7 linked regions of the Oryctolagus cuniculus genome follow. The protein of the gene in region 1 purifies or fractionates together with the protein of each later gene. This does not show direct contact. Links are inferred from orthologs where the notes say so. Each region holds a gene or a part of one and is shown on either strand. Other genes may lie near its edges. The genes, in order: CSNK2A2, CCNL1, PIP4K2A, GPATCH2, DEK, NIFK and ZMYND8.

The links.
Region 2: the proteins of CSNK2A2 (region 1) and CCNL1 purify together in Homo sapiens (affinity purification with mass spectrometry; 4 studies listed by BioGRID and IntAct, with this or other methods). This does not show direct contact. The link is inferred for Oryctolagus cuniculus from reciprocal best matches to the Homo sapiens genes CSNK2A2 and CCNL1.
Region 3: the proteins of CSNK2A2 (region 1) and PIP4K2A purify together in Homo sapiens (affinity purification with mass spectrometry; 3 studies listed by BioGRID and IntAct, with this or other methods). This does not show direct contact. The link is inferred for Oryctolagus cuniculus from reciprocal best matches to the Homo sapiens genes CSNK2A2 and PIP4K2A.
Region 4: the proteins of CSNK2A2 (region 1) and GPATCH2 purify together in Homo sapiens (affinity purification with mass spectrometry; 6 studies listed by BioGRID and IntAct, counting the BioPlex papers as one, with this or other methods). This does not show direct contact. The link is inferred for Oryctolagus cuniculus from reciprocal best matches to the Homo sapiens genes CSNK2A2 and GPATCH2.
Region 5: the proteins of CSNK2A2 (region 1) and DEK purify together in Homo sapiens (affinity purification with mass spectrometry; 4 studies listed by BioGRID and IntAct, with this or other methods). This does not show direct contact. The link is inferred for Oryctolagus cuniculus from reciprocal best matches to the Homo sapiens genes CSNK2A2 and DEK.
Region 6: the proteins of CSNK2A2 (region 1) and NIFK purify together in Homo sapiens (affinity purification with mass spectrometry; 3 studies listed by BioGRID and IntAct, with this or other methods). This does not show direct contact. The link is inferred for Oryctolagus cuniculus from reciprocal best matches to the Homo sapiens genes CSNK2A2 and NIFK.
Region 7: the proteins of CSNK2A2 (region 1) and ZMYND8 purify together in Homo sapiens (affinity purification with mass spectrometry; 6 studies listed by BioGRID and IntAct, counting the BioPlex papers as one, with this or other methods). This does not show direct contact. The link is inferred for Oryctolagus cuniculus from reciprocal best matches to the Homo sapiens genes CSNK2A2 and ZMYND8.

What each region holds. Positions count from the first base shown.
Region 1 is NC_091449.1:41,552,289-41,556,553, reverse strand, and holds the start of CSNK2A2 (casein kinase II subunit alpha'), read left to right. Parts: upstream 1-1,324; 5' UTR 1,325-1,470; coding exon 1,471-1,574; intron 1,575-2,328; coding exon 2,329-2,440; intron 2,441-4,265.
Region 2 is NC_091435.1:123,685,925-123,688,823, forward strand, and holds the end of CCNL1 (cyclin-L1), read left to right. Parts: exon of another isoform or gene 1-12; coding exon 13-112; intron 113-218; coding exon 219-323; intron 324-418; coding exon 419-560; intron 561-652; coding exon 653-764; intron 765-862; coding exon 863-961; intron 962-1,598; coding exon 1,599-1,947; 3' UTR 1,948-2,387; downstream 2,388-2,899. UniProt on the Homo sapiens protein: Involved in pre-mRNA splicing. Functions in association with cyclin-dependent kinases (CDKs). Inhibited by the CDK-specific inhibitor CDKN1A/p21. May play a role in the regulation of RNA polymerase II (pol II).
Region 3 is NC_091444.1:48,947,133-48,951,310, reverse strand, and holds the start of PIP4K2A (phosphatidylinositol 5-phosphate 4-kinase type-2 alpha), read left to right. Parts: upstream 1-1,298; 5' UTR 1,299-1,581; coding exon 1,582-1,725; intron 1,726-4,178. UniProt on the Homo sapiens protein: Catalyzes the phosphorylation of phosphatidylinositol 5-phosphate (PtdIns5P) on the fourth hydroxyl of the myo-inositol ring, to form phosphatidylinositol 4,5-bisphosphate (PtdIns(4,5)P2). Has both ATP- and GTP-dependent kinase activities.
Region 4 is NC_091444.1:31,838,156-31,841,806, forward strand, and holds part of GPATCH2 (G patch domain-containing protein 2), read right to left. Parts: intron 428-3,651; coding exon 245-427; intron 1-244. UniProt on the Homo sapiens protein: Enhances the ATPase activity of DHX15 in vitro.
Region 5 is NC_091436.1:145,447,114-145,451,339, reverse strand, and holds the start of DEK (protein DEK), read left to right. Parts: upstream 1-1,356; 5' UTR 1,357-1,544; intron 1,545-1,870; 5' UTR 1,871-1,879; coding exon 1,880-2,024; intron 2,025-4,226. UniProt on the Homo sapiens protein: Involved in chromatin organization.
Region 6 is NC_091434.1:128,335,478-128,339,795, reverse strand, and holds the start of NIFK (MKI67 FHA domain-interacting nucleolar phosphoprotein), read right to left. Parts: upstream 2,909-4,318; 5' UTR 2,793-2,908; coding exon 2,688-2,792; intron 2,081-2,687; coding exon 1,943-2,080; intron 1-1,942.
Region 7 is NC_091442.1:12,513,272-12,516,922, reverse strand, and holds part of ZMYND8 (MYND-type zinc finger-containing chromatin reader ZMYND8), read right to left. Parts: intron 236-3,651; coding exon 1-235. UniProt on the Homo sapiens protein: Chromatin reader that recognizes dual histone modifications such as histone H3.1 dimethylated at 'Lys-36' and histone H4 acetylated at 'Lys-16' (H3.1K36me2-H4K16ac) and histone H3 methylated at 'Lys-4' and histone H4 acetylated at 'Lys-14' (H3K4me1-H3K14ac).

The sequences.
Region 1 (4,265 bases):
GAACTGGATTGGAAGTGGAGTAGCTGGGACTCAAACTGGTGCCCAAACGAGAAGCCAGTGTTACAGGTGGTGGCTTAACCTTCCACACTGCAATGCTTGCCCTGGGTCTTTTTTTCTTAAAGATTTAGTTTATCTGAAAGGCAGAGTCACAGACAGGAGGAGATGGAGGGAAGGAGGGGGAGAGAGAGAGAGAGAGAGAGAGAGAGAGAGAGAGAGAGGCAGCCAGGACCCCAACCAGAGTTCATGCGGGATGCCCAGGCGGCAGGGTAATCTACAATGCTGAACTCCATCAAGGGCCTTATCCAGGAAGCAGCATGAAAAAGGATGGGAGTCAGAGCTGGCTGGCTGGGTGAGGGGCCGCTAAGAGTGGGGCAGAAGGGGGAGCCAGCCACAAGGAAGACCCAGAAGATGCAGGAGAGAAGAGAGTTCAGGGCTAGAAGGCACAAAACAGGCCAGACTGGCCACCCCAGCTTAACCAAGTGACCGAAGTGGACGTTCAGAGAAGGCTCTGGAAGAGAACGTGGGGGACGGTGTAGGAGAGGGGTTTTGTGGGGAAGACTTGGGATGAAGGAGCATGGGGTCTCAGGACAAGGAGTCTGCGAGTGACAGAGCAGGGTCCACAGCGGGGAAAAGGGATTAAAACACACACACACACACACACACACACACACACACACACACACACGAGGGGAGGGGACATCTTGAGGTGGGGGAGGTTCTGCGGTTGAAGAGTGCGTCACTGGGGAAGAGCGGTTGGGTAACAGGGCTATCAAGACCGGGTACTGCGGGAGGTCTTGGGGTGGGTAAGGTCTGGATGACCAGAGGTGACGGTCTTGGGGTGGGCGTCTCGGGGTCAGTCCTCAAGGGCTCAAGGGCAGCCGACGGCAGGCGGGGTGGCCCTGCGGGAGAGACCCGGCCAGCCCCAGGATGCGGAGAGCCCGACCGGCGCGCCGGGGCGGGGGGCGGGGCCGGCACCGCCCCGCGGGTCCCCCCACGCTGCAGGGGGCGCTGTGAGCCTGGGCGGCCCCGGGCTGGGCGGCGGCCGCTCCTAGTGAGCGCGGCCCCTTTTCCGGGTTTCCTCCGCCTCCTCCTCCTCCTCCTCCTTCTTCGCCGCTGCCCCTTTCCCGGCCGGTGGCTGCCGCTGCCGGTGCCGTCGCCGCCGCCGTCGCCGCAGCCGCCGCCGCCGCCTGGGGGCCGCGAGCCGAGCGGAGGCCGCCGCGGAGCGCGAGCGCCGCCCGCCCCGCCGCCCCGCCGGCTGCTCCAGGGCCGGGCCGGCTCGGCCGGCGCCCCCCGCGCCCCCAGCCCGCCCGCCCCCGCGGGCCCGGCCTGGCGCGGCCGCCCGCCGCCGCGCTCCTCCTCCTCCTCCGGCGCCCCGCGGCCCGCCGCCTCCTTCGCCCGCCGCCCCGCGCCCCCCGCCGCGCCGCCGCCGCCGCCCTCTGCGCCCCGCGGCGCCCCCCGGTCCCGCCCGCCATGCCCGGCCCGGCCGCGGGCAGCAGGGCCCGGGTCTACGCCGAAGTGAACAGCCTGAGGAGCCGCGATTACTGGGACTACGAGGCTCACGTCCCGAGCTGGGGGTAAAGCCGCCGCCGCCGCCGCCCCCCGCCGGGGCCTCTCACCCCCACCCCCGCCGGGCCGCCCCCCGGCGCAAACCGCACTCGGCCCCCGCGATCTGCCTCCCGCAGGCCGCTCGCCGGGGCAGGGCTGGGCTGGGCGGCAGAGGCCCCCACCTCGCACATGTCCTCCTCTTCCTCTTCCCTCACCCGCGGCCGTTCCTCCCCCGCCCCCAGCTTTGTGCACCCCTCTTGCCCCTTCCCTCCGGCGGGGGGGGGGGGGGACCAGGGCCTAGCGCGGAAGGGAGGCAGCAGCCGCCCCTCAGGCTGGGGGTTTCTCTCGGGGTGGGGAGTCAACAGCTGTCTTCTATGAAAATGCGCTGCTTTTTTAGTTTTCTGACACGAGGCGGGGTGGGGGGGATTTTTTCGAAAGATGTGCAGATTCTCAGAGCTGGCGCTGGCTACCTTCGGGGTGTGAAATAGGGGGCAGGTGCTGTGGAACCGCGGGCAGGGCGGAGTGCTCCCAGGGTCTGCGAGATGGATGATGGACTCAGAGCGTCTACCCCCAAGTTACAAGGGACCAGTTAGGTTGGGAGCCCTGCAGAGCAGCAGGAGCCTGGTGTGTGTTGTAGCTTTCATATAGGGACTGAGTTGCAGCATGGATTATAGACACTTCCAAGCGCTTGGTTCGTGGAAGTGGCCGGCCGGGGCGTATCGTGGGCATAGGCTCGGCGGACCCCAAGGCCCAGCATTTATGTGTGTCTTTTGCCTCTCACAGTAATCAAGATGATTACCAGCTGGTTCGAAAACTTGGTCGGGGAAAGTATAGCGAAGTATTTGAGGCCATTAACATCACCAACAATGAGAGAGTGGTTGTAAAAATTCTGAAGGTGAGTCTCCTATAAGTGGTTTGTAACTTTTTCCCCCACAGGCCAAAAGGACGTGAGTTACCCGAGCCTCGTTTCTAGAACGAGCTGTGCCGGCTCTTGCGTTATGTCTCTTCTGTCCAGGACGCCCGGATCCCACCCCGTTTTCCTTGGACTTAAGAAAACACGCAGACCGGCCTTAAATCTAAGCAGAACGGATCAGGAACACCCTTGTTCTAAAATGTAAATTAGAGGTTCCCAAAGCAAAAATCCCAAAAGGGCCCCATTTGTTACAAAATAAATAAATATTCAGAGGGAAGAAAAGCCTTTTCATGGAGATTCCATGGATCCGAGGGCTCTTTGAGCGCTGTGTTTGTTAGTCCACAAAGAAAGTTGGAGAAAATTGGAGCCAAGGGGAAGGAAACTCCTCGGGGTGATAACCACTTGTTTCTCCTCTGACAGTGAAGTTTCAGGTGGGACAGCTGAGGGGCGCAGGGAGTGCTGGGAGCCCTGGAGCTGCTTATCAGCTAGTAAAACTGGAGTTAGAAGGCACTTTTAATCACTCAAGCTGTTGGAACAAAACTGTCTGATGTCTGCTTTCGCAATCTTAAGTTTGATGATAGGCCTTCTGTTATCTCTTGAGTGAAGACGTAATGAGCCTGAAGAGTTGGCTTCAGGTAACTGTGTGGCTTTAATAATGTTTTACTGGGTGTCCTGCAAAGTTGTTCTTAGAAGCTGTCATGGGTCTTCATTATCGCCAGATCCCTGAACGTGTGTTTGGAGAGGGTCTGTGGCGGGGGCTGTGGGGCTCAGAAGCTGCCTGTGCATGTCAGGCTGTGCGGGGAGGCCCTGTCCTCTCAGGCCGGGCTCAGGCTTTCTGGGAGCCGCCTCTCAGAACCGTGCCCAGCAGCCTCGCTCAGTGCTGTCCTAGCCGGTGATGGAGGAGCAGGATTCTGGTAGAGAGAAAGCGGCAGAGGCCGCTGTGCCGTCAGACGCTGGGCACATGAAGTGAGGGACGGGTGTTAGGGATTTGCAGACTGGCGCCCCCTCCCCTGAATATGAGCCACCAGTGAAGTCCCAGGGCCTCCCCCCACCCCAACAAGCATAAATATGTGAAGAAATGGTGTTCCTTCAAGGCAGTCACCTGGGGAGGCCATGTAATTCCTCTGTGTACATAAGCAAAATGCTTTACTGCAGGCTGCTTTGACTTGAAGCAGAGCTGAAGTTGGAATTAGAAATAGCCGTATTCCCCAGCTGTCTGTCTGGAAGAATGAGTGCTGACTCTGAGGCAGTTCCAGAAAAATGTCTAAACTTTGGTGCAACAGCAGCATTGTTAGAGTAAGTGCCATTTCCTGTGTCCTCTTTGAACGGCGCAGCGTTCAGGTGTGTGTGTGAATGCCTGTCTGTCCAGGAGAGCATCGCGTTGCTCCTGGGTCATCCTTGCACAGCACTTCCTGGTGACTAGAGAGTTTTTCCTGTTCTCTGAAGCGTGCTGGGATGTTTTAGGGAACTCAATATGAAGACTGCCACAGGTGGTTTTTACAAAGGAGAGGCCCAGGCACAAAGAAACTCAGCCAGCTCACCACCAGCACTGCTGCTCCCTGCTTTTCCCTCTCAGCTTTCTTCGGCGCTGGATTGCGGGATCTTCATGTTGCGCCCAGAGTAAGTTCCAGTGTTCTGGAATGAGCTCCGCAGGCCCCTCTGGTGTCCAGTTGATGAAGCGTTTCTTGTTGCTTCTTTTCACGGTGCGGCGTGAACCACCTTGCTTCCAGGGCTGAACACTACACTCCTTCTGTATGCTTTCCAAAGCCCTGCAGCGTTTCTGTCCAGATGTTGTTCCTGTCTAAAG
Region 2 (2,899 bases), on another chromosome or scaffold:
CATATCTTTCAGGAATTATATGAATGACAGTCTTCGAACCAATGTTTTTGTTCGATTTCAACCAGAGACTATAGCATGTGCATGCATCTACCTTGCAGCTAGAGCACTTCAGGTAAGTGTAGATAGCCTATTTAGTTCTATAGGACAAATCACAGGTATTATCAGTGGTTCCAATAAAAACCAGGGAAAACTCAAAGCATTCTATTTTTGTGGTTTAGATTCCACTGCCAACTCGTCCCCATTGGTTTCTTCTTTTTGGTACTACGGAAGAGGAGATCCAAGAAATTTGCATAGAAACGCTTCGGCTTTATACCAGAAAAAAGGTAATTTCTGTTTGCTCAAGTTTGTGCTGATAGCCTTGGTGCCAAGAATCTAAATTACTGCAGAGGAGAAATAATAATTCATTGTCCTCCAACAGCCAAACTATGAATTGTTGGAAAAAGAAGTTGAAAAAAGAAAAGTAGCTTTACAAGAAGCCAAACTGAAAGCAAAAGGATTAAACCCTGATGGAACTCCAGCCCTTTCAACCCTTGGTGGATTTTCTCCAGCTTCTAAACCATGTAAGATACATTGGGACTTAATGAATTGGGGACAATGAAAGTTTTAGCATTTATGTATAGAAGTAAACATGTCACTCTCGTTGTCTTTTAAGCATCCCCAAGAGAAATAAAAGCTGAAGAAAAGTCACCAATTTCTGTTAATGTGAAGACAGTCAAAAAAGAACCTGAGGATAGACAACAGGCTTCCAAAAGCCCTTACAATGGGTGAGTGTATGTAGATTAGAAAACTAGCCTGAAGAATCTTGTGCATACTTTGTAACACTGAAGAATATAACTGAAATATTTATTTATTTTTTTTGAAGGGTAAGAAAAGACAGCAAAAGAAGTAGAAATAGCAGAAGTGCAAGTCGATCAAGGTCAAGAACACGATCACGGTCTAGATCGCACACTCCACGAAGACAGTAAGTCAATGTTTTCTTAGGAAAAGCAGTTCTTAAAAGCAGGTTGCATCAGCGATCTCTTAGTCTAGAATTGGATTTGAAATGATCTTGTGAGGCCGAGGGGGGTAGGGTGATGTGTACTTTCTGTTTTATGGTATTTTACCTTAATGGCATTTTAATTTCTCATGTTTGTTGAAGAAATAAGGGCTGCCCACAAAATGCTATGGAATTACCTTGTTTATATTGTAAAAACATTGCCTTTCTGTTCCGTTTCAGATAGGAAGTTTCTTATAAGTAACCAATAATCAAGTTAACCATAGCTGAAGAATCAGTAGTTAGCTTTTGTAATTACGTCGCTAGGTCCTGTGGCTCTTCCTCTTCAGGGGTTCTTTTGAACATGTGAGAATCAGTAAAAAGACTAGTTCTTTGCAATTATTATTTCCCTCCTTGGAATATAGACATTGGATACATTTGTTTAAGATTCTCTATTTTAGGCTTGGGTGGGAGAAGTGAGGGGTGGGGAGGTTTAGAAAAATTACCATTTTGGCTTGTAACTAATGGAGTTGGTAGTTTTGTTTAGAATCTTTTAGAAGCAGCCATCAATATAATATGTTGCCCATAGAGACTGAATCTAAACCTCCAATTTTTATTATCTAAGTTACAATAATAGGCGGAGTCGATCTGGAACATACAGCTCGAGATCAAGAAGCAGGTCCCGCAGTCACAGTGAAAGCCCTCGAAGACATCATAATCATGGTTCTCCTCACCTTAAGGCCAAGCATACCAGAGATGATTTAAAAAGTTCAAATAGACATGGTCACAAAAGGAAAAAATCTCGTTCTCGATCTCAGAGCAAGTCTCGGGATCACTCAGATGCTGCCAAGAAACACAGGCATGAAAGGGGACATCATAGGGACAGGCGGGAAAGGTCTCGCTCCTTTGAGAGATCTCATAAAGGCAAGCACCATGGTAGCAGTCGCTCAGGACATGGCAGGCACAGGCGTTGACTTTTGCTTCCTTTGAGCCTGCATCAGTTCCTGGCTTTGGCTATCTACAGCGTGATGTATGGACTCATCATTAAAAGCAAACCAATTAGGATTTGATTTTTTTAAAACTCTCTAGGTCTCTAGAAACACTGAGGACATTTCTTTTGGAAAGAACTATGTTAAATTTTTTTGCACATTAAAATGCCCTAGCAGTATCTAAATTGAAAACCATGGTCAGGTTCAATTGTACTTTATTATAGTTGTGTATTGTTTATTGCTACAAGAACTGGAGCGTGAATTCTGTAAAAATGTATCTTATTTTTATACAGATAAAATTGCAGACACTGTTCTATTTAAGTGGTTATTTGTTTAAATGATGGTGAATACTTTCTTAACACTGGTTTGTCTGCATGTGTAAAGATTTTTACAAGGAAATAAAATACAAATCTTGTTTTTCTAAACTGCTTCAAATATCTTATTTAAATAAATTATTAAAAAGCAAAAGTTTAATAGTAAAATTGGCTGTCCTGATTTTCTGATGAACTTTTCTGTACTCCATTAGATGTAGTTTGAGATGATTAAAAATGTGATTTTTATCTGTATTGTGAGCTATTTGTAAGTCTTCACTGTGTTTATGGATGAAGCAAATGGCAGTGGCCCAGCAATATAATGTTAAATGCTACAACACTGAAGTACTGTTTCCAAAGGGAAGTGTCCTGAACAGATTTATGCACTGTGACAGGAAGAGACAGATCTTCCATCTGCTGATTGACTCCCCAGATTATCAAAATGACCCTAGGCCAGGCTGAAGCCAGGAGCCTAGAAGTACATCCACGTCTCCCAAGTACTTGGGCTGTCATCCACTGCTTTCCCAGGTGCATTAGCAGAGAATTGTATCAGAAGTGAAGTAGCCAGGACTTGAACTGGCACTCCAGTATGGGATGTGGCTATCCCAAGTGGTATCAAGGAAATG
Region 3 (4,178 bases), on another chromosome or scaffold:
GGGCTGCGGCTTAATCCCTCATGCCACAACACCTGCCCCTGTTTTGTTTTTTGTTTTTGTTTTTCTTTTTAACCACTAAAAGTGGCGATGGTTGATGCCGGGGGAGCAGGTATCATTTTTGATGGTAGTAAAAAGAAAGTGGAAAAGAACTAGAGAACTCTGGGCCGTCCCTCTGAAGAGCACATGAGGGTGATCCCAGGATCTGCCGCCCCACCCCACGGAAGCTCCTTAAGGAATCCCTCATCCTTTGTCTCCCAAACAGAACCAAGCAGGGTACACCAAGGGCACAGAGCACAGCCCTGTATTGGGGCAGGGTAAAACTGATAATTGGCGACAATGTCACCCCTGAGCTGAGTGAGAGCGAGTACCTGGCATGCGATGAGATGACTGGGGAAGTTACAAAACAGCAGGCTTTTAGATGTACTTGGTAGCCTCAGAGGTGGGCCAGGCACTCCTAGCATAACAGCTAAACGTAGGTACCCATGGAGATGGCGACCAGGTTTCCACGGAGGAAGGTGAGGATACTGTGGCGGGGGGGGGGGCGGGGGGGGCGGGTAGGGATGGTGAGGAACACGCTGCGCTGACGGACTTCAAGAAGGAGGTGCAATTTAGGGGCCGTGTTTCTGGCTAAACCAAGGGCTCTGGAGAGCGATCCAGGGTCCTGCCTGGGGAGCAGCGAGGGCAGGGAATGACAGGGCAGAGTATTAGGTGCGATTCTCCCTCTCGAATGACTCAGGGAGTCTGGGAAAGAGCAAACCCAAAGGGCCAAAAAGGTGAAGGCGCATACGGATTAAGTTCGGTTCAGGGGCACTTTTCAAGGTGGACGTCCACGTGCCAAGATGCTCCGACTTGGCGCTTGGGGAGCCTGGCTCCGCATGCGGCGTTCAGGGTGCACCAGCTCTCCGGGACTCCCGGAACCGTTAAGCAGCGGCTCCCTGAGCCTCCTCGCTTCCCTGGCTCAGGCCTCTGGGGGCTCCCCGCCACCTCCCCGCTCCCAGCGCCTCCCTTCCTCTCCGCTCTCTGGAGAGCAGAGGGGATGCCCAGCGGAGTGCTCACGCTCCCAGCAGCCAACGCTCACCCCGCGGCCTCTTCCGCGTGGCCTGGAGCTGCCTCCCCGAGCTCTCCTGCGCACCGGGGCAGCCGGGCCGCGGGAAGCAGGAGCCGCAGCCGGAGCCCGAGCCGGAGCGCGCAGCCTAACGGTCCGGCGGCCGCGCCCCGCGCCCCGCCTGGCGGCGCCGCAGCTGCTGCCCGCCCGCCCCCTGCGTCATGACGCCGGCGCCCAACGCGGAAGCCGCTCGCGGCGCGCCTGGTCCAGCCGCGGGCTGAGCGCGGAGCCGCGGCGGGCGCGGGAGCCGGGCCGGGGCGCGAGCCGGGCACAGCCTCCCGCCGCAGCTGGGCCGAGCGGGCGGAGCGAGCCGAGTGGGGCCGAGTGCGCCGGCGGCGGCGGCGGCGGCAGGCGGAAGCGGGCACGGCGCGCCGGGGCCGCCGCCGAGGGGATGCGGCTGCCTCCCCGGGCGGGTGTGTAGAGGGCGGGTCCCCGGCCTCGGGAGCGCGGCGGTGGAGGGGACGGAGGCGGCGGCCATGGCGACCCCCGGAAACCTGGGGTCTTCTGTGCTGGCGAGCAAGACCAAGACCAAGAAGAAGCACTTCGTAGCGCAGAAAGTGAAGCTGTTCCGGGCCAGCGACCCGCTGCTCAGCGTCCTGATGTGGGGGGTAAACCACTCGGTAAGGGCTCGGCTGCGGCGCGCGGTCCTCTTCCTCCTCGTTCCCCTCCTCCTCCGGCCGCGGCTGCTGCGGGGCGGGCAGCCGGAACCTGCTGGGTCTCACCCTCCACTTCGGCGCCCCCGGCCCCGGGGCGCGCGCTCTCCCCTCCCGACCACTTGCGCCCCCTTTGGACCTTCGGACCCGGAGCGGCACGAGGGGTCCGGTCTGCGTTTGAGCCCTGCGGCCGGTGCTGGTGCTGCCCGCGGTCCGCTCGCCCGCCCGCAGGGAGGTCCCCGCAGCTTGGGAAGTGGGAAGTTTGTGCGGGGCACGGCTCCGCCTCGCCTGTCAGCGGCTGCTGGGGGCCGAGTCCAGGCCACCGCTCCGGTACCCCCCGCCGCCAGGCAGGTGTACCTGTTCCAGGTTGGGGGCGTCCGGAACCTCCTGCGGGCGGTCGGGAGAGCACGATTTGGGGCAACAGCTTAAGAGCTTAGGTCTCCCCCCCTCCTCTTTAAAGGAAGTATTATTAGACACGAGGAGGCCTTTTGGCAAATTAGAAGCCAGTGCAAGTGTTGCACTGGTGTTCAGCATCTTGGGCCGCTCGTCTCCCGCATCGCGGGCGGAGGAGCCATTGGCGGGGAGTGCGCTCCGCTCACCTCCTCCTGCAGCCGGCCCTAAGCCGCCGCCTGCGGAGGGCGGTCCGGGCGGGGCCCGCTGGAGGGGTCCCGGCGGGCGCGGACGGGGGGTCTTGAGCTGACAGCCTCTGCGCAGGGGCTGTGTTTAAAAGGCTGCAGGAGAACGCCTGGGGAAGCTTTGCGTACGGCCACGGGCGGTGGAAGATGCGCCCCCGCGGGCTATGCGGTTTGCGGTGCGAGGGTCCGAAACAGCCTCCTGCAGATCTTACCGCGAGGAACTCCTGCAGTTTTAATCAACTCAGATGGGGATCAGGAAATGTGATAGGAGCTGTTGGCAGAGCTGCGGAAGTAGAAATAAGACAGCGAATTTTGACCGTGACCTTGCCCACTGCAGTCAGTGGGCATCCGAGGAAAGAGGCAAACTTGCTTTTCGTGCTTTTGATGTCCACGGGTGTCATTGTGTCCTTTTCACCGTGACGGAGAAGGCAGAAAACCACGTTGGTGTTTGAGAGAGCACTCTCGGTTTCACGAAGTTGTTTAAGATGTCTCAGAAGCATCATTGTCCGATTTCTATTCCCCGATGGTGTTGGGGGAAAAGGTGAAACAGTAGCAGGGCTGATTGCGTGGAGTGGCTGTTTTTAACAAAGTTGAGAAATAATTGTTTCTACCAGCTTAATGTGTGATCCGCTTAAGTTCATTTTAACTGAAATACACTTTAAAAAAAAAAAAAAAAAAACAAAACTATCAGAGTTGTAAGATGTTGCAACAGCATACATGCATGGCTGCACCAAAAACTCCCCCAAATTTTATGGGGAAAATGAAACGAATGGTTTCCTATGTAATAAATCTGTAATTTAGAGCTATGTCTAATTTTGTTAAACACTTTTTAAAAAAAATTATGTTGTTAGTTTCTGGGATAGAAACCTGTAATTTACAGAATAGGATGTATGTCTCCTTGTGCTTACTCATATTTATGGGTGTTTTTATCTCTCAGAGTTCTGGTGTTTTGGCCAGGAGATTGTTTGTTTCAAGGTTTAATCTAGTAAAGTAGTGTCAACAGTGTGCTGCCGAAAAAGTGTGCTCCCCAGGAATCAGTCTGAATTCCAGTTTACTTTAGAAAATCTTGCAACTGTGCATGTGTTACTGGGACTGCTTATGTGTTACTGGATTTTATGGTTTGCTACATTTGTTTTATAGTTTCTTGCATTGGAAATATTTCAAAACTACTTAAGGCTTATAATGTATCATCTGTAGGTAGTAAGTTTGGTGTTACTTTTGTCTTCATGAGAAGTGAGTATACATAGCCAGCGGAGTGAGGTTTCCAGGTTTCCATAGGATACAAGCCTATTATTTATATTGGGCACAGGCAGTGCCAGCCACAGTGGGAAAGATTGCTAAAACCCCTCTCATATGTATGTCCAAATATCAGAGATATCTGCCTTCGTATTAAAAGCATCTTTTCCATGAGTTTCTTTTTCAAAATGTCTATTTGTTTTAAATATACTGGTTTTTTGGGGAAGAATACCAGAGTGTATGTAAGGATGAAATTTAAACTCTTAGATACCATGTACTTCTTGTTGATTTAATTTTAGGAGATAATATCTGATAGTAGATACATGTTTTATATGACTTGTGCCCCAAAGTTTACAGTTTAATGTGAGAATAAGGATGTCAGCAATATTAAGAATGAGCAAAAATAGTGCTGGATGTGAATGGGACCCTTGAGAAAGTATAGCTGAAAAGGAATAGATAATTTAAATGTCTTTTCCTACATCTCTAATGTGATCAGAATTAAGATTTGTCATGAATATAGTAGTTCCGTACTTTGAACAGTCATGTGAA
Region 4 (3,651 bases), on another chromosome or scaffold:
TAACTTTTTTTTCTCAATTCACTTTCCTATCTTTGCAACATTTTCACAATGGGCCTAGCACAAAAGCAATTCAATATTTTCTCATCATTTGAAGGCATGATAAATATAGCTGAATTAGTGCCCACATGTTTGTGTTTAATATCCAGTTTATGTTTAATTTCCATTTTAGCCTCTCCTCTTCCAATGAACTTTCCTAGATTGACCAAAAATCCTTTGTACCCACTAATTAGACAGTGCTACTTACCTCTTCGGCTTGAATGCGACATAAGGGGGAAAGAACCAGTTAAGATACTTTCAAAGACGGGATCTGGTAAATTTTTATCTAGTTCTGCAGGATCTTCCTTTTCCCACCAGGGAATGACTCCAGTGATGCCACATGCTCCCCCTGACTCCTTTTCATAGAACCAGTCACTCTGCTCATCATCACCTGTGAAGACAGAAGGCCCCTGGACTAAAAATTCAGTCTTATCACCCAAATACACAATTAGGGCTATTATATAATAAAAAATATAAGATGGCAGTTAAATCTGGATTTCAGGTAAAAGATTAACTTTTAATGCGAGTATGTTGTCTTGTACTATATTTTTAATATAAATATATCTAAACACTGCATGGGACACATTTATACTACAAGATTATGTCTTATTTATCTACATTTCAAATTCAACTGGTGATCCTGTATTCTATCAACTATATATATATATAATATAGTATATATATAGTGTATATATGTATATATATATTTTATACATACATACACATGTATATATATACTATATATTAGAATACAGGATTGTATTCTATCAACTATATATATATAGTGTATATATGTATATATACATTTTATACATACATATATACATGTATACATATATATACACACTACATATATATGATAGAATACAAGATCACCTGTTAAACATATATATATATTATCTATAAAGAAAGCTTTTTACACTATACCACAGCTGAAATAAATGTTCTCTAATATTACAATAAGCATTGCCATCAACAAAAACACAAAATGTTATATTTTAGAACCAATTAAAATGCAAAGTTAATCCTTTGGCAATAACTATAGGGAAATCCATTTAAGGTACTACCCATTCTACATTAAAAGAAAATGTGCCTTAATCTCCTACTGGGAATTAAAAGGTATAAAACTGTGGAACCTGTTCTTTAAGGCTGATAATGGTATATAATTAGCTTAATTCCATGATTTCTATGGAGTATAAAGGGGGAAATAGTCATTAACAGATGTGAATAAATGAAATTAATCTAATTAAGTTCATTAAGAAATAGCTTTGAAAAACTTGATTTTAAATGAAAAATGACAATACACAGAGTTTATAAAGAAAATATAACAAACTATTGTAAGTGAGGTGTTTTTAAAACACAACACTATTCATTAATTTTGATTTTTGGGAACATCCATGAATAACCGTGAGACAATTTTAAAGGTCAATTTAAAATCCAGTATGAAGTGGTCTTTAGTGATTATCAATATTTTTTAAAAAAAGGAAAATAAAGAGCTGTATAAATGGAAAATAAGGCAGAAGGCTTTTCAAAATAATATACAATTAGCACTTTGAATATGATCTGAGATTCATTAAAGTCTTCCTGCTGTGATTTTTTTTAATAATTAATTTTATTTATTTGAATGGTAGAGTTACAGAGAGAGAGACAGACAGACAGAGAGAAAGGCAGAGAGAGTCTTCTAACTGCTAGTTCACTCCCTAAATGGCTGCAATAGTTAGGGCTGGGCCAGTCCGAACCCTGGAACTTAGAACTCCATCTAGGTCTCCAATGTGAGTTAAAGGGGCCCAAGCACTTGTAACATTGTCTGCTGCTTTCCCAGGCCCATTAGCAGGGAGCTAGATCAGAAGTGGAACAGCCAGCACTTAAACTGGTGCTTATATGGAATGGCAGCGTCGCAGGTAGAAGCTTCTTAACCTGTTATGCCACAGCATCAGCCCTTTTCTTTTGATTCTTAGAAGGTACCACCAATTCTGGGTTCTAAGAGAGTCATCATAGTTACCAAACACTTTTTCTCTTTAAACAAAGTTTTCTTATCTTGAAACTCTCTTACTATAATCATTTTTAAGGGCAAAGTTAAAAAAATAAAAACCTAAAGATTCAATAGAAAAAATGATTTTATGAAAAATAGTTGTATTTTAAATGAAAAGGAAATGACAAAAGCATTTAGAAAACTAGAATCAATAGCACATTTCAACTGAGGAATAAAATCTTAATTTCATAAAAAGTAGAATTCATAGAACTTAATATTAATACTTATACTGTGTTATATTTAAAGTATCACAAATCAGATTTGAGCACAAGAAAATAAAGAAAGTAACTTGAAACTGAATACCCTAGATTAAATTCCTACTGAGACATTATTAAGAAAAAAGGAAGCTATTTTACTATTGATGTGATAATTTTATTCTTTTTTAAAAGATATTTATTTATTTGAAAGGCAGAGTTACAGAGCGATAGAGGGAGAGACAGAGAGAGAAAGAGATCTTCCATCTGCTGGTTCATTCCCCAAATGGCCGCAATGGTTAGGGCTGGACCAGGCCAAAGCCAGGAGCCTGGTATTCCATCTAGGTCTCCCACATGGTGGTAGGGGCCCAACCACTTGGGCTATCTTCCACTGCTCTCTTAGGTGCTTTAGCAGGGAGCTGGATCAGAAGTGGGGCAGCCAGAACTCCAACCGATGACCACACAAGATGCTTGGTCAGAAGCAGTGGCTTAACCTACTGTGCCACAATGTAGGCCTTGTAACTTTGTTCTTAACAGAGAAATCAAACCGCTGTTCATGAAGAACTTGAATATGCAGTTAGACAAATTAAAACTCTAGTGTTTTGCAGTAATGGAGAATTTACGTCAACTCTATTAGCATAGGTTTTCTTACTTTAAAAATTGGGAATCTCACGGTTTTTAAAGAATTAAATAGGAACTTAGAGCAAGTTAAATGCAAGAAAAGCACTTGGCACTATGAAACACAGTAAGCTCACAATAAATGCTAGTACATCATTCTAAACCACTCAGTGCTTTTCAGAGATTGAGAGTTGGTCAAAAATTATTTTTTTAAAAAGTTTTTTCATTTCATGTCATTACCAGTATCAACATTTATAATATATTGGGAATAAAGGCCTTTTTTTTTATTAGAATTTAGGGATGTTATCAAAGTGGTTAAGCTTACTTAAGTATGTTGCCAGATTCTAGCATATATAAGTAAAGTCACAACTTCTAAAAGACTACAAACTTTAAAATAGTTACATACATATTTATCTACAATATGGTTTATAGATAAGCAAAAAAAGAATGATTATTTACATTACTCTCACTGGAAGAGTAAAATATTCTCAGTTTATATATTTTGTAACACAATTATACTTTAAACTATACACACAAACATACACACACACACACACACATACACACACGTATATATAGTTTATTTCCTTTGAACTTACTATTGTCCTGTAAGGTATTATTAAGAAATGAAGATAACATTTGGAATAAGTATTTATATGTATTAGCTCAATTTCATGATCTCTATAGAATATGAAAGTAAACAATCATAAGCAGATGTGAATAAATGACATTAATCCAATTAAGAATTAAACCTGTCCCTTTACTAAAATT
Region 5 (4,226 bases), on another chromosome or scaffold:
AAACAAAGTGTCAGATTGTCAGAAAGATTTTCGATTTGATTCTGAGTATGATGAACAGCCATTAGAGAATTTTAAACAAGAGAGTGCCCAATCTGTTCTCTTTTTTAAAAGATCACCTTGGCTGCTGTGCGGGAGTGGAGAGGCAGCAGGCCCCAGAAGCAAACAAAAGAAGAGAGGGGTAGAAAGAGCTGGTGCTGTGGTGCAACAGGTTAATGCCCTGGCCTGCAAGTGCCTGTATCCCATCCGGTCACTGGTTTGAGTCCTGGCTGTTTCACTTTTTTTTTTTTTTTTTTAAGATTTATTTATTTATTTGAAAGAATGACAGAGAGGCAGAGAGAGGGAGAGAGAGAGAGATTATTTTCCATCCACTGGTTCACACCCCAAATGGCCACAAAGGCTGGAGCTGGACCAATTTTGCTGGAGCAGCTGGGACTTGAACCAGTGCAAGCACTGCAGGAGGCAGCTTTATGGGCTCCGCCACAGCACGGGCCCCTGCTCCACTTCTGATCCAGCTCTCTGCTGCGGCCTGGGAAAGCAGAAGATGGCCCAAGTCCTTGGGCCCCTGCACCCCTGTGGGAGACCCGGAAGAGGCTCCTGGCTTCGGATCAGCTCAGCTCCTGCCGTTTCAGCCACTGGGGGTTGTGAACCAGCTAATGGAAGACCTCTCTCTCTGCCTCCCAGAACTCTTTCAACTAAATAAATAAATCTTATAAAAAAATGACAGGATTTCTTATGTTTTGGTTAGGGGCACAAAAAGGTACAGAGAAGATCCAAAGCATATGTCTAAGAGTCCATTCCAGGCAAATGTAATTAAAATGAGAGAGAGAGAGAGGGAGAGAGACTACTTGGTCTGCATTTACTGGTGTATAAATATGTGGATTTATTTACGCCCCTGGCGGTGTGAACCTTAAGGGCGTTCTCGCTCGCGGCATCTTACGAGCGATGAGGTCCCTCCGTGGCGAGTCTTCCCCAGCACGAGCTCTGGGACACAAGTAGCCCCCTCCACCCCTGTCCCACACGTCGGCAGCGACTCCGGGGGGCTCCCAAGGGTCCTCCCCTCAGCCGCCCCCTCCCGGCCCAGGGCCGCTCCGCGTCCTTTCCGGGAACGACCCGCCGAGACAATAAACACGCAGGCCCCCTAGCGTCCTCCCGTTCCCGCCGGCTCGCCGCCCGTCGCCGCAGCCGCGGCCGCGGCGGGCCGGCCCTCGGGTGACAGCGCCAGGAGCTCGCCCTCGCCCGCGGCCGGAGCCCCCTCGCGCCCCGCCCCGGCTTCCCGCGGAGGCGCCCGCGCCGCCCCGCCCCGCCCCGCCCCGCCGCCGCGCGCCCGCCAACTCCGGCTCGCCGCCCTGATTGGCCGCCGCATTCCCGCTCTCCTTCCCGAACCGCCATTTTGAAAGTCTTGTTGATTCGGGGAAGCGGAGCGGGCGGCGCGAGCGTCACGCCAGACCGCGGCCCGCACGCCTTCGCCTCACTGTGGGCCTCCGGAGCCTCCCGGAGCCTCCTTGTAGCTCGCGCGCCAGGCCCGCGGCGGCCGGGACCCCGCGGTGAGGGCCGCGGCGGGGGACGGGAGGCCGAGGCCGACGGGGGAGGGACGCGGCCATCGGGACGGCGGCCTGGGGCGGGGGAGGGGACGCGGGGCGGGTGGCGGGCGGCTCGGGCCGGAGGCGGCGCAGGCCGCGCGGCGGGCGGGCGGGCTGCTCGGGTTCCCGCCTCGGGGAGTCCCCGGACGGCGGGCGGGAAGTCGCCCCCGGGCACGGAGCGCCGCGGTCCCGGCCGCGAAAGGAGACCCCACCCCCGGGCTGGCGGTGGCCGCCCGGTCCTCGCGGCTGGAGCCAGAGGACCGAGACGGCCGACCTGTGCCCGCCCGCAGGTCCTCAGTATGTCTTCGTCGGCTCCCGCTGCGGAGGGAGAGGGCACCACCGCCCAGCCCGCGTCCGAGAAGGAGCCCGACATGCCCGGCCCGAGAGAGGAGAGCGAGGAGGAGGACGAAGACGACGAAGAGGAGGATGAAGAGGAGGAGAAAGGTGGCTATGGCTTTTGCAGACCCAAGTGCTGGTTTCCGTTTTTGGCCCCCTTCCCTAGGAAGCAGTTGTCTTTGCTGTTCTGGACCTCGGGAACGATGAACTGGAGTGATTTTTTTTTTCCAGCCAGGGTGCATGCGAAGTCGGTTTTTGTGTGGAGCAGCGGCGTAGTTGGCTTTAGGACTTGGCGGGTTTTGACACGTTGGAGTCGTGTAAATGGTTCTCAGTGGTTAGGCGCGCGTTTGGACGTGCGTAGCGCACTTCTCGGCCGCTCGGCTCCTCGCGCGGTTTGACAAGTTTGCGAGGCTCCGGGTCGGTGTCTTTGCGCTCCCCTTTCTGAGGACTCTTGCAGTTTGGCTGATGGCGTTGCACGTGTGTCTTTGGCCTGTTGCGCTTACTCCGAGGTCTCGTTCGGCCGCTCGTTTAGACTTGAGAAGCTATGCATGTTGGTCCTGGAAGAAAGATGTTAAACTCTTGTTTATTGCTGAACTTGCAGCTCGGTTCCTTTGTGGCCAGCAGCGAAAGCTGTTGCTACTCGAGAAAGTTAAACAAGAAACGAGTGCACTCTGAAAGGAAGTTAAAAATGAACCCAGAGCTGTCTCGGTTTTGGTGCTGAGTCTGCAGCCCCGGGGAGCGATGTTAACCACGGCGTCACTGGAGGCCCAGAGGAAGGAATTGTGTCCGCTTATCCAAGGTGCTGGCTGCCGTGCCTCTTGCTGATGTTGCCAGCTGTAGAAATCCGAGTTCTTTGCTGTTAGCCCGGTGTAGGGTGTGTTTTATTTTTTTATTATTATTTTTTTTTAATGGCTGCAGCTCACCCCAACTTGGGAAGAGGTTGTGTTCTCTTCCCAAAGCCAGGTTTAACTGTCAGGGTCTTTGTAAACATAGTCCGTGGAACATTGAGTGGTAGGCCTTTTGTCTGTTTACAGTGGTGTGTGCCCTGAGAAAGGAGGCTGTTCATATTTAAGTACAGCACGGCTTTTAATTATAACTTAGTGTGCCCTGTTGCTTAATAGTACAAATTATAAAGGAAATGCAAATTGGTTGCAGTATCTTGCTACTAGCTACTCTCTTAGCACTTTAATTTTTTTCTTTTCGGTTGGGGGACCAGAGCTGGGATGGTGAATTTTGTCAGGAAGAAAATTGGAGAAGGCAGATAAATACGAGTGGCCAACACAGAAGAGCTTGAGGCACTGGGGGTAGTTCACAGAACTCTGTGTTCTGTTGTAGGTGAATAAATTGTGCTGTATTTAAACAGGATTTTGTTAAGTTTATCCCGTAACCATTTTACAGTTATGTTTCATCTCATTTGAGATGTTTGTGGGACAACTAGAATTGTGAAAGTTTTATTATGCTTAGCCATGGGTGTTTAGTACTGAGGCATCTTGGAAGCAAGGCAGTGAAATTAATGAAGTCTGTTAAAGCTCAAATTGGCAGTGGTTGTGTGTGGAGTGGGAGGTTTGAGAGAAATGACTAGCAAAAGATGACTCGTGGGTTTCTTTGTCAATTTTGTGGCTGGTATTACTGTTTTCTGCAACAAAATTCTTTCAGGTGGGCAAGTCTAGAGATGATTTCTGTTTGGGATGTGTTGAATTTGGGTGCCTGTAGGACATGAGGTGGAGCTGTTCAGGTGGCCCGCAGGCATATATTAGCTGATAGGAATCTAAGAGTGAAGCTCTGCCTGGAGGTAGACTAGGAAGTCCTTGGTTCCTGGATGACAATCAGAAGGAAGTGGATGGTTTAAATCCTAGAGAGGATGATGAGTGATAAATGGGGTTGCTTGTTCTTTTGTAGAGATTGCCCTTCATTCTGTACACCATTTGCAGTATACACCTGTTGGTATTTTCTCCTGACATTGTTTTTGTGCAAATCCTTACAACGCCAAAAATTACCTGTCCTTCAAAGCCAGCACCAGTGTTTTGATCCTTTTTCACTAGTCTACAAATAACATCAAATCAGAACTTTCATTTGTTTCTTACGGTGTTTTTTCATCTTTACATTAGAGTATAATATCTGTCTCATTTTCCAAGTTGATGAGATCTTTTTCAAAAGTGTCTTAATTACCCCTTCCTAATTTCAAATGCTTCTTTGTACAAAACAGGCATCTTCTTATGAATGAGAGGATCTTCAGCAGTATGCCTATGGGAGTCTTATTTATCTAACTTTGTTTCCTTTTAAAAAACATTTTATTTGGCCGGCGCCGCG
Region 6 (4,318 bases), on another chromosome or scaffold:
AATTAATTTGGAAATACAGGAGACCTTTAATAGCTAAAGCAATCTTATACAACAAAAACAAAGGCAGAGGCATCACAATACCAGATTTCAAGACATACTACAAGGCAGTTACAATCAAAACAGCTTGGTACTGGTACAAAAACAAAGGGATAGACAAATGAACAGAACAGAAACACCAAAATCAATCCAAGCATCTACAACCAGCTTATATTTGACCAAGGAGCTAAAAGCAATCTCTGGAGCAAGGACAGTCTCTTCAACAAATGGTGATGGGAAAACTGGATTTCGACATGCAGAAGGATGAAGCAAAACCCCTACTTCACACCTTACACAAAAAACCATTCAATATGGATTAAAGATCTAAATCTACAACCTGATACCATCAAATTAAAGAACACTGGGGAAACCCTGCAAGACACTGGCACAGGCAAAGAGTTCATGGAAAAGACACCCTGAGGCACAGGCAATCAAAGCCAAAATTCACAAATGAAATTACATCAAATTGAGAAGCTTCTGTATTGCCAAAGAAACACTCAGGGAAGTGAAGAGGCAACCGAAAGAATGGGAGAAATTATTTGCAAACTATGCAACTGATAAAAAGGATTAATAACCACAATCTACAAAGAGATCAAAAAACTCCACCACAACAAACCAACCAACCCAGTTAAGAAATGGGCAAAAGACATTTTTCAAAAGAGGAAATCCAAATGGCCAACAGACACAAGAAAAAATGTTCAGGATCATTAGCTGTCAGGGAAATGCAAATCAAAACCACAATGAAGATTCACCTCACCCCAATTAGAATGCCTTTCACACAGAAATCAACAAACAACAAGTGCTGGTGAGTATATAGGAAAAAAGGTGTCCTAGTCCACTGTTGGTAGGAATGTAAACTAGTAAAACCACTATGGACAACAATTTGGAAACACCTCAGAAATCTGAATATAGATGTACCACATGACCCAGCCATCCCACTCCTGGGAATTTACCCAAGGGAAATGAAATGAGCAAATAAGAGTTATTTGTACCACCATGTTTACTGCAGCTCAATTCACAATAGCTAAGGCATGGAATCAACCCCAATGCCCATCAACTGAAGACTGGATAAAGAAATTATGGATATGTACTCTATGTAATACTACACAGTGGTCCGTATGAAAAAAAGAAAAAAAATCTGGTCATTTGTAAATTAGTGCAATAAGCCAGTCCCAAAGGGACAACTACCATATGTTCTCCCTGATCTGTGATACTTCATGGGACATTTTTTCCCCCTCTTCTTCATATTACTTGTTGAACTCTATGTTAATCATATGTGTATAAAGTCAACTAAAAATAGAAAAAGAAAAAAGAAAAACAAAAAAGGTCTTCAAGGAGCCTAAACTCTCCTTATGGTCAAGACAAGAAAGATCTGAAACAAGAATATCATCAAGCTGGCACTTGATACAGCTGAGAGGTAGACAGCTGGGTAGTCAGTAAAATTTCTTCTAGGAGACTCCAAAATGCCTAAGGAAGCAGCTTAATCTCTAACTGAACACTCATAGGAAGCTGATGCTACTTTACCCACATTTTGCAGATTACAAAACTGCAGCATGAGTATGCTAGCTCCAGAGTCCTTTGCCTTCACTATAAATCTTGGCTATTACTGATGTCTCTAACAGAGGCTAAAACAAGTGTGAATCTGGTTCTCAAACTGAAGTTCATTTACCCCTGGTAAATGAACATGATTCATTTGCCAGGACTGCCAATTTAACTTGTGAACTTGGGGCAAGTACTTCTGGTACACAAACATTTAAAATTCTAATTTTGCTCTAGAGGCTGTTTGTTTCAAAACCTCAGCCAGCCCCCTTTCCAGAGGGAAGTCTAAGGAGCAGAATGCGAGCACTTTGCATAAAACTGTCAAGGATGACGCGTTCGGAAGACACAACAGGGGATTCTGACTTACCCTTTTGCTTCTGGACAGTCGGAATCTTGTAACAGTGCCAAACTGGGAGAAATACTCTTGAATCTGGGTTTCATAGAGTGTTGGAGGTAGGTGGCCCACATAGATTACTCCAGGAGTAAGGGTTTCTTGCTTTTTTTTCTGAAGACATACAAACCCGATAAATCCTCTTTAATAAGACAATTGCATGGCAACAAAACTTGCAAAACCCCTAGCGCTGGGTCCAAGAGCATACTGTTTCCGCTTAATCGTAGGCTTCTCCCCACAAGGACAGCGGCCAAGCAGCCCACGTGGGCCAGCGTAGATAAGCAAGGACACGAGAACTTTGCACACCGGCACCCTTCAACTTGCAGGCAGATCGCCGGCTACCTGCGTCTAATCCGACAGTTCTTGAGACGCCCACCGACCCTCAGCGTCATCGCCCCCGTACCTTCCCTAAGCAACACTTTTAAGTTTCCCACATTGGATTTAATGCTGAAGACCCAAGAAAACACAAATTCAACGTCAGGGGACCTAGCTGGTGAGCAATGTCTCCCAAGAACCCCCAAATCCCTGGGGCCCCCCATCAGCACCAGCAAATCGGAAGCAATGGCGCTAACTGGGTCCCTAAGCGGCCCGGTAGCGCTGTTCCCTGGCTCGGTCTCCGCCTCCTCGCGCGTCGCCACGTGAAGACCTGGAACCCACGCCTACAGCACCGAACTTTCCGCCTCGGATCCCTCCTCTCCCAGAGGAGGCAGAGGTCGCTCACCTGGGTGACGCGCTTGCGGACTTGCTCCACCTCCTTTCGAAACTGTGCGTCTTTCTCCGGGTTGAGAGACAGAATGGGGGCCGCGGGTCTGGAGAAGTCCGCCATGCCGGAGGTGCGCAGGCTGACCCACGCGGCGCTCCCGGAAATGCCGAGCCTTCGGTGCGGAAGTAAGGCGGAAGGGGCGTGGTGAGAGCTGGGCAAAGGTCGCGGCGCGGGGGCGTGCCCGTGGGGGCGTGGCCTTGGGCGCAAAGGGGCCCCTGCGCCGTTGCTGCTTTCTTGACCATCTCAGCCTGTTTTCTCTTTCTTTTCTTTTCTTTTCTTTTCTTTTCTTTTCTTTTCTTTTCTTTTCTTTTCTTTTCTTTTCTTTTCTTTTCTTTTCTTTTCTTTTCTTTTCTTTCCTTTTCTTTTCTTTTCTCTTTTCTTTTCTTTCTTTCTTTCTTTTCTTTTCTTTTCTTTTCAAGATTTATTTATTTGAGTTACACACAGAGAGATGGAGAGGCAGAGAGAGAGGGAGAGAGAGGTCTTCCATCCGCTGGCTCACTCTCCAATTGGCCGCAACAAATGGAGCTGTGCTGATCTGAAGCCAGGAGCCAGGAACTTCTTCCAGGTCTCACTCACAGGTGCAGGGCCCCAAACTTTTGGGCCATCTTCTGCTTTCCCAGGCCGTAACAGAGCTAGATCAGAAGTGGAGCAGCTGGGACTTGAACCAGCGCCCATATGGGATGCCAGTACTGCAGTCGGGGCTTTACCCGGGCCTCTCCACAGCGCCGCCTCCCGCTCAGACTTTTTTCTATCAACCCGGGTATCTGAGGGGTCCGTGGGCGGAGGCCCTGCAGAATACGCCCCTGGGCCTTCCAGCCCAGCTGCACCCCCAGTCCCCCCCCCCCCTGCTCCGTGGCCCGCGCAGCTCCTCCTTTTCCGGGGGTAGGGCATGCATCCTGGTACCCTCTTCCTCTGGCCCCTAACCCCTTTCAGGCAGGGGAGAAGGAAATTCTCGAGTGACCTGAGAGAAGTATCTAGAACCTTAAAAATAAGGCCTATTGGGCAGGTTGGTTAGCTTGGTCTTGCGGACAAGACCCCCACGTCTCGCCTCAGAGTGCCTGGTTTCAGTACTGGCCTCTGTTCCAGACTACATCTTCCTGCTAAAGGAGACCCTGGGAGGCAGGGGGACTGGCTCATTTGAACCGATTCTATCCACCTGCGTGGGAGACCGGGATTGGTTTCCTGGCCCAAAGTTGCAGTTCAAGCCTGGGGTGGGATGGAGGAATTGCAGGCATCTGGGGGAATGAATCAGCATATGTGAGGGAACTCTCTGTCTCACAAGTAGACAAAAACAGGATCTATGAAGGAAAAGGATCTTGCTTGTATTCCATATTGGAGTGTTGAGTCCTCCATACTGTGTTTCCTAACCAGCTCCCTGCTAATGCACCTAAGGAAGGCAGATGATGGCCCAAGGGTTTGGATCCCTGCCACCCACATGGGAGACACAGATGGAGTTTGGGGGTCCTGGCTTTGACCTGGAACAGTCTTGTCTGTTGTGGGCATTTTGGGGGAATGGATCAGCAGGTGGAGGAGCTCTTACCTTTCACATCAATCAATAAATTAATCTTAAGTCCAAAAGGAAAGGATCA
Region 7 (3,651 bases), on another chromosome or scaffold:
TTCCACACGACCCGCTGCACGGCCGGGGCAGTCTCCTTCGGCAAAAGCGGCCTCTGCTTTTTCACCGGGCTTCCTGCAGCGGCGGTGGCCGGGGCCGTGACCGTGACCGTGGACGTCGCGCTGGTGGCGGCTGTGACACCAGCCGCGGGAGTTTGGGAGGAGGAGCGGGTGAGCACCGGCGTTTCCGGGGGAGACTGGCTGCCCGCCGCGGCAGACGGTGGCACTTTCCCTACAACTGAGACCGACACATGGGGAGAAAGGTAAATGGCCACGGGACAGCAGCCGGCGGTGACACCGGCGAGCTCCAGGGGAAGCAAGCAAGCAGGAACACTCTCACCGCCCTCCCCCGGGGCCAAAGCGGTGGGGGAACGGAATCACTGGACGGCTGGCAAAGTCAGAGCGCGGTGTAGAGGGGGCTGGCTGGGCCCTGCTCGCGGCACCCATCCCACATCAGTATGGGCCCAGCTGCCCAGCTGCCCGGCTTCTGGTCCAACCCCCTGCTAACGCACCCGAAAAGCAGCACTGGCTCCAGTCCCTGGGCCCCTGCCACCCACGGGGGAGACCTGGATGGAGTCCCTGGCTCTTTGCTTCTGCCTGGACCAGCCCTGGCCGTTGTGGCCAATTTTGGAGCAAACCAGAGGATGGAAGATCAATCTTTCCAACTCTGCCTTTCAAATAAATTAAATAAATCTTTAAAAAGAAAAAGAAAAGAGCAATGTGTTGTAAGCACCTTGAGAAGCAGCCCGCCACATCAACTCTGCAGCAGCCCCTTTGGTGAGGGGCCTACAAACATGGACCCTGAAGGACCCATGGGGGCCGGCACTGTGGCATAGTGGGCTAAGCCTCTGCCTGCGGTGCCAGCATCCCACATGGGCACTGGTTTGAGTCCCGGCTGCTCTTCCTATCCAGCTCTCTGCTGTGGCCTGGGAAAGCAGTGGAGGATGGCCCAAGTCCTTGGGCCCCTGCACCCAAGTGGGAGACCTGGAAGAAGCTCCTGGCTCCCGGCTTTGGATTGGCACAGCTCAGGCCACTACGGCCATTTGGGGAGTGAACCAGCAGATGGAAGACCTCTTTCTATATATCTCTCTCTGTAACTCTACCTCTTAAATAAATAAATAAAATATTTTTTTTAAAAAGAAAGGTATTTAAAGCAATATTGTAGGGAATACAGCTTTTAAAAAAAAAGTGAGTTCGTTAATTTACGAAATATTATAAAAATAAGGACCCACAGCTGCCTAACAGCCAGGCACCAACCACGCTGAGCAGCCCCACATGGAAGGTGCCCCTCTGTCTCTGCTGGCTCCCTCCAGGTCAAAGTCTCCGCGTAGTGTGGACAGCCTCGACCCCCAGCCCCGAGAGGAACCCGTGGGGTTCTCGCCAGAAGTCAGGAGCACGGCTTGGGTGCTGGCTGTGGTTTTCCACAGCAGCCCGGCAAAGCTGGTTCTGCCAATGCGCAGTGGGCGCACGCTGAAGTCTAACGTGAGTCTGACTTCTGCTTCAAGGACTGCACATTGAGGTCGAGAATTATCAGGCAGGGCCTGAGAGCGGTGACCGAGAGCGACTCGGGGTGACAGGCACTGGCGGACGGAGGGCGACTCCTCGCAGGAGCTGGGGGGATTCCACAGGCAGAGTGAGGATCTGGGGGGGACGCGTCTGGGATAGGGGAGGACTTGGTGAGGACTGGCTGGGAGGCAGGGGCGAGCCAGAGCAGGTGGCCACGAGGGTGCTCCTTTACTGAGTGGTCGGTCCTCTCTGCAGAGGTCTCGGCCACATGAGGTGAACTGGCCCCCAGGCAACACACATGCGGGCCAGCACCCCGATCGCGCACGGGCCGTGACACCAGACGCCTTCGGCGAGGAATATGCCCGTCCTCTTAGAGTTACTCCACCCGGCAAGACTGGAGTTGGATTCGTCTCGGGAGGACCCGGGCAGCTGTGGGTTTCAGGAAGCCAAGGGGAGCGAGGGAAAGAGACAAGCTGACTCCTGCGCCTTGGGGGCTGCTTCCAGGGTCCACCTGCTGCCCCAGAGAGGCAGGTGCAGCCAACCTGGTGGGCAAGAGTCTGGGACAAGGGGGCCTCCTCGGGTCCTTCTGGGTGACCTGCCAGATAGTAGACACAGTCCCCACCTGCCTGCGTGTACACAAGAGGCGTTAGGCTGGGTGCCTCCAAGAGCCAGGCACCACACAGTGCCTGCCAGGGCTGCTAACCTGCAGAGACACCTTCACTGCCTCCCTTTTCAGCCATGAGACCAAAACATGCGTTGCGACTGCTGACCACAAAAAGGTCACTTCTCTCCTGACTTACACAAAGTTCCAGCTGGTTTTCTTCTTTAAAAAAAAAAAAAAAAGAGTGCAGAGGGCTCAGTGGTGAACACGCCCACATCCTACATCCAGTGACTCAGCCGAAGTCCCTGCTCCATTTCCCATCCAGCTTCCTACAAACACACACCCTGACAGGCAGCAGGTGATGGCTCAAGTATTTGGGTTCCTGCCACCCACATCGGGGACCTGGACTCAGTAACAGGCTCGTGCCTTCAGCCTGGCCCAGCCCCAGCTGTTGTGAGCTAGTGGGTAAAACTGTCGCCTGCAGCACTGGAATCCCATATGGGCGCCGGTTTGAGCCCCGGCTGCTCCACTTCCAATCCAGCTCTCTGCTAATGGCCTGGGAAAGCAGCAGAGGATGACCCAAGTCCCTGGGCCCCTGCACCCACGCGGAAGACCCAGATGAAGCCCCTGGGTCCTGGTTTTGGCCTGGCCCAACCCTGGCCAATGTGGCAACTGGAGAGTGACCCAGCAGGTGGAAGATCTCAATCTCTCCCTCTTTCTCTCTGTAGCTCTGCCTTTCAAATAAATAAATCTTTAAAAAAATGTACAATCTGAAAAGATGTCAGGCTTGAAATACCATGTGGGGTCATCACTTAGATTTTAATACATTAACTTCAATGGGAATTCTGATAGTTTACCAAGCCCCCCCCCAAAAAAAAAAACAAACAAAAACAAAACAAAAGAAAACAAAAACAAAGAGGGTACAGGAACTTTACCCTAGAAATTCAGAGCATATAAAACCAAACACTTAATGCCCCAAAAAGGGTGCATTTCTTAGGCTCTCACAATGGGTCACCATCAGATTGACCTGATCATTCCAGAATCTGTCACTGGTCTCTGGCACATGGAGGAAAGACTTTAAAAAAAAAAAAAAAAAAGAACTAGCGCCCCCTTGGGGGAAGGATGGGACTTGCTGATGTGATGGTGAGCCTGGGCAGGAAGCCTGCGGGAGGCCCTGTCCCCGCACGCTGAGACGGCCTCCCTGGCCACACACACTGCTCTCCTAGCTCCAAGGCCAGCACAGCCCCGCCCGTTAATAAGCTCCGAAGCGAGAGCTGGTGGCGGAGAGGACACTCTGTGGGGTGACCTGAAGCCAGCTCTCCAGGAGCCAAACCCTGGCGACCTGCTCAGACGGACTCGTGAATTACCATCGGCCTTGCGCAGCAGTGCAAGGAAGAACTCCAGTTCTCACCAGCGGAGACGCCTTTATGTGGGGCACCGCACGAGCTCGCTTCATGGCTAGGAGCTCAGACCCAAAACGGAAGCCCAGCCCCCCGATTCTGAAGCCGGAACAGGGCGCGCCGGCAGCATAGCTCTCGCCAGGCCCT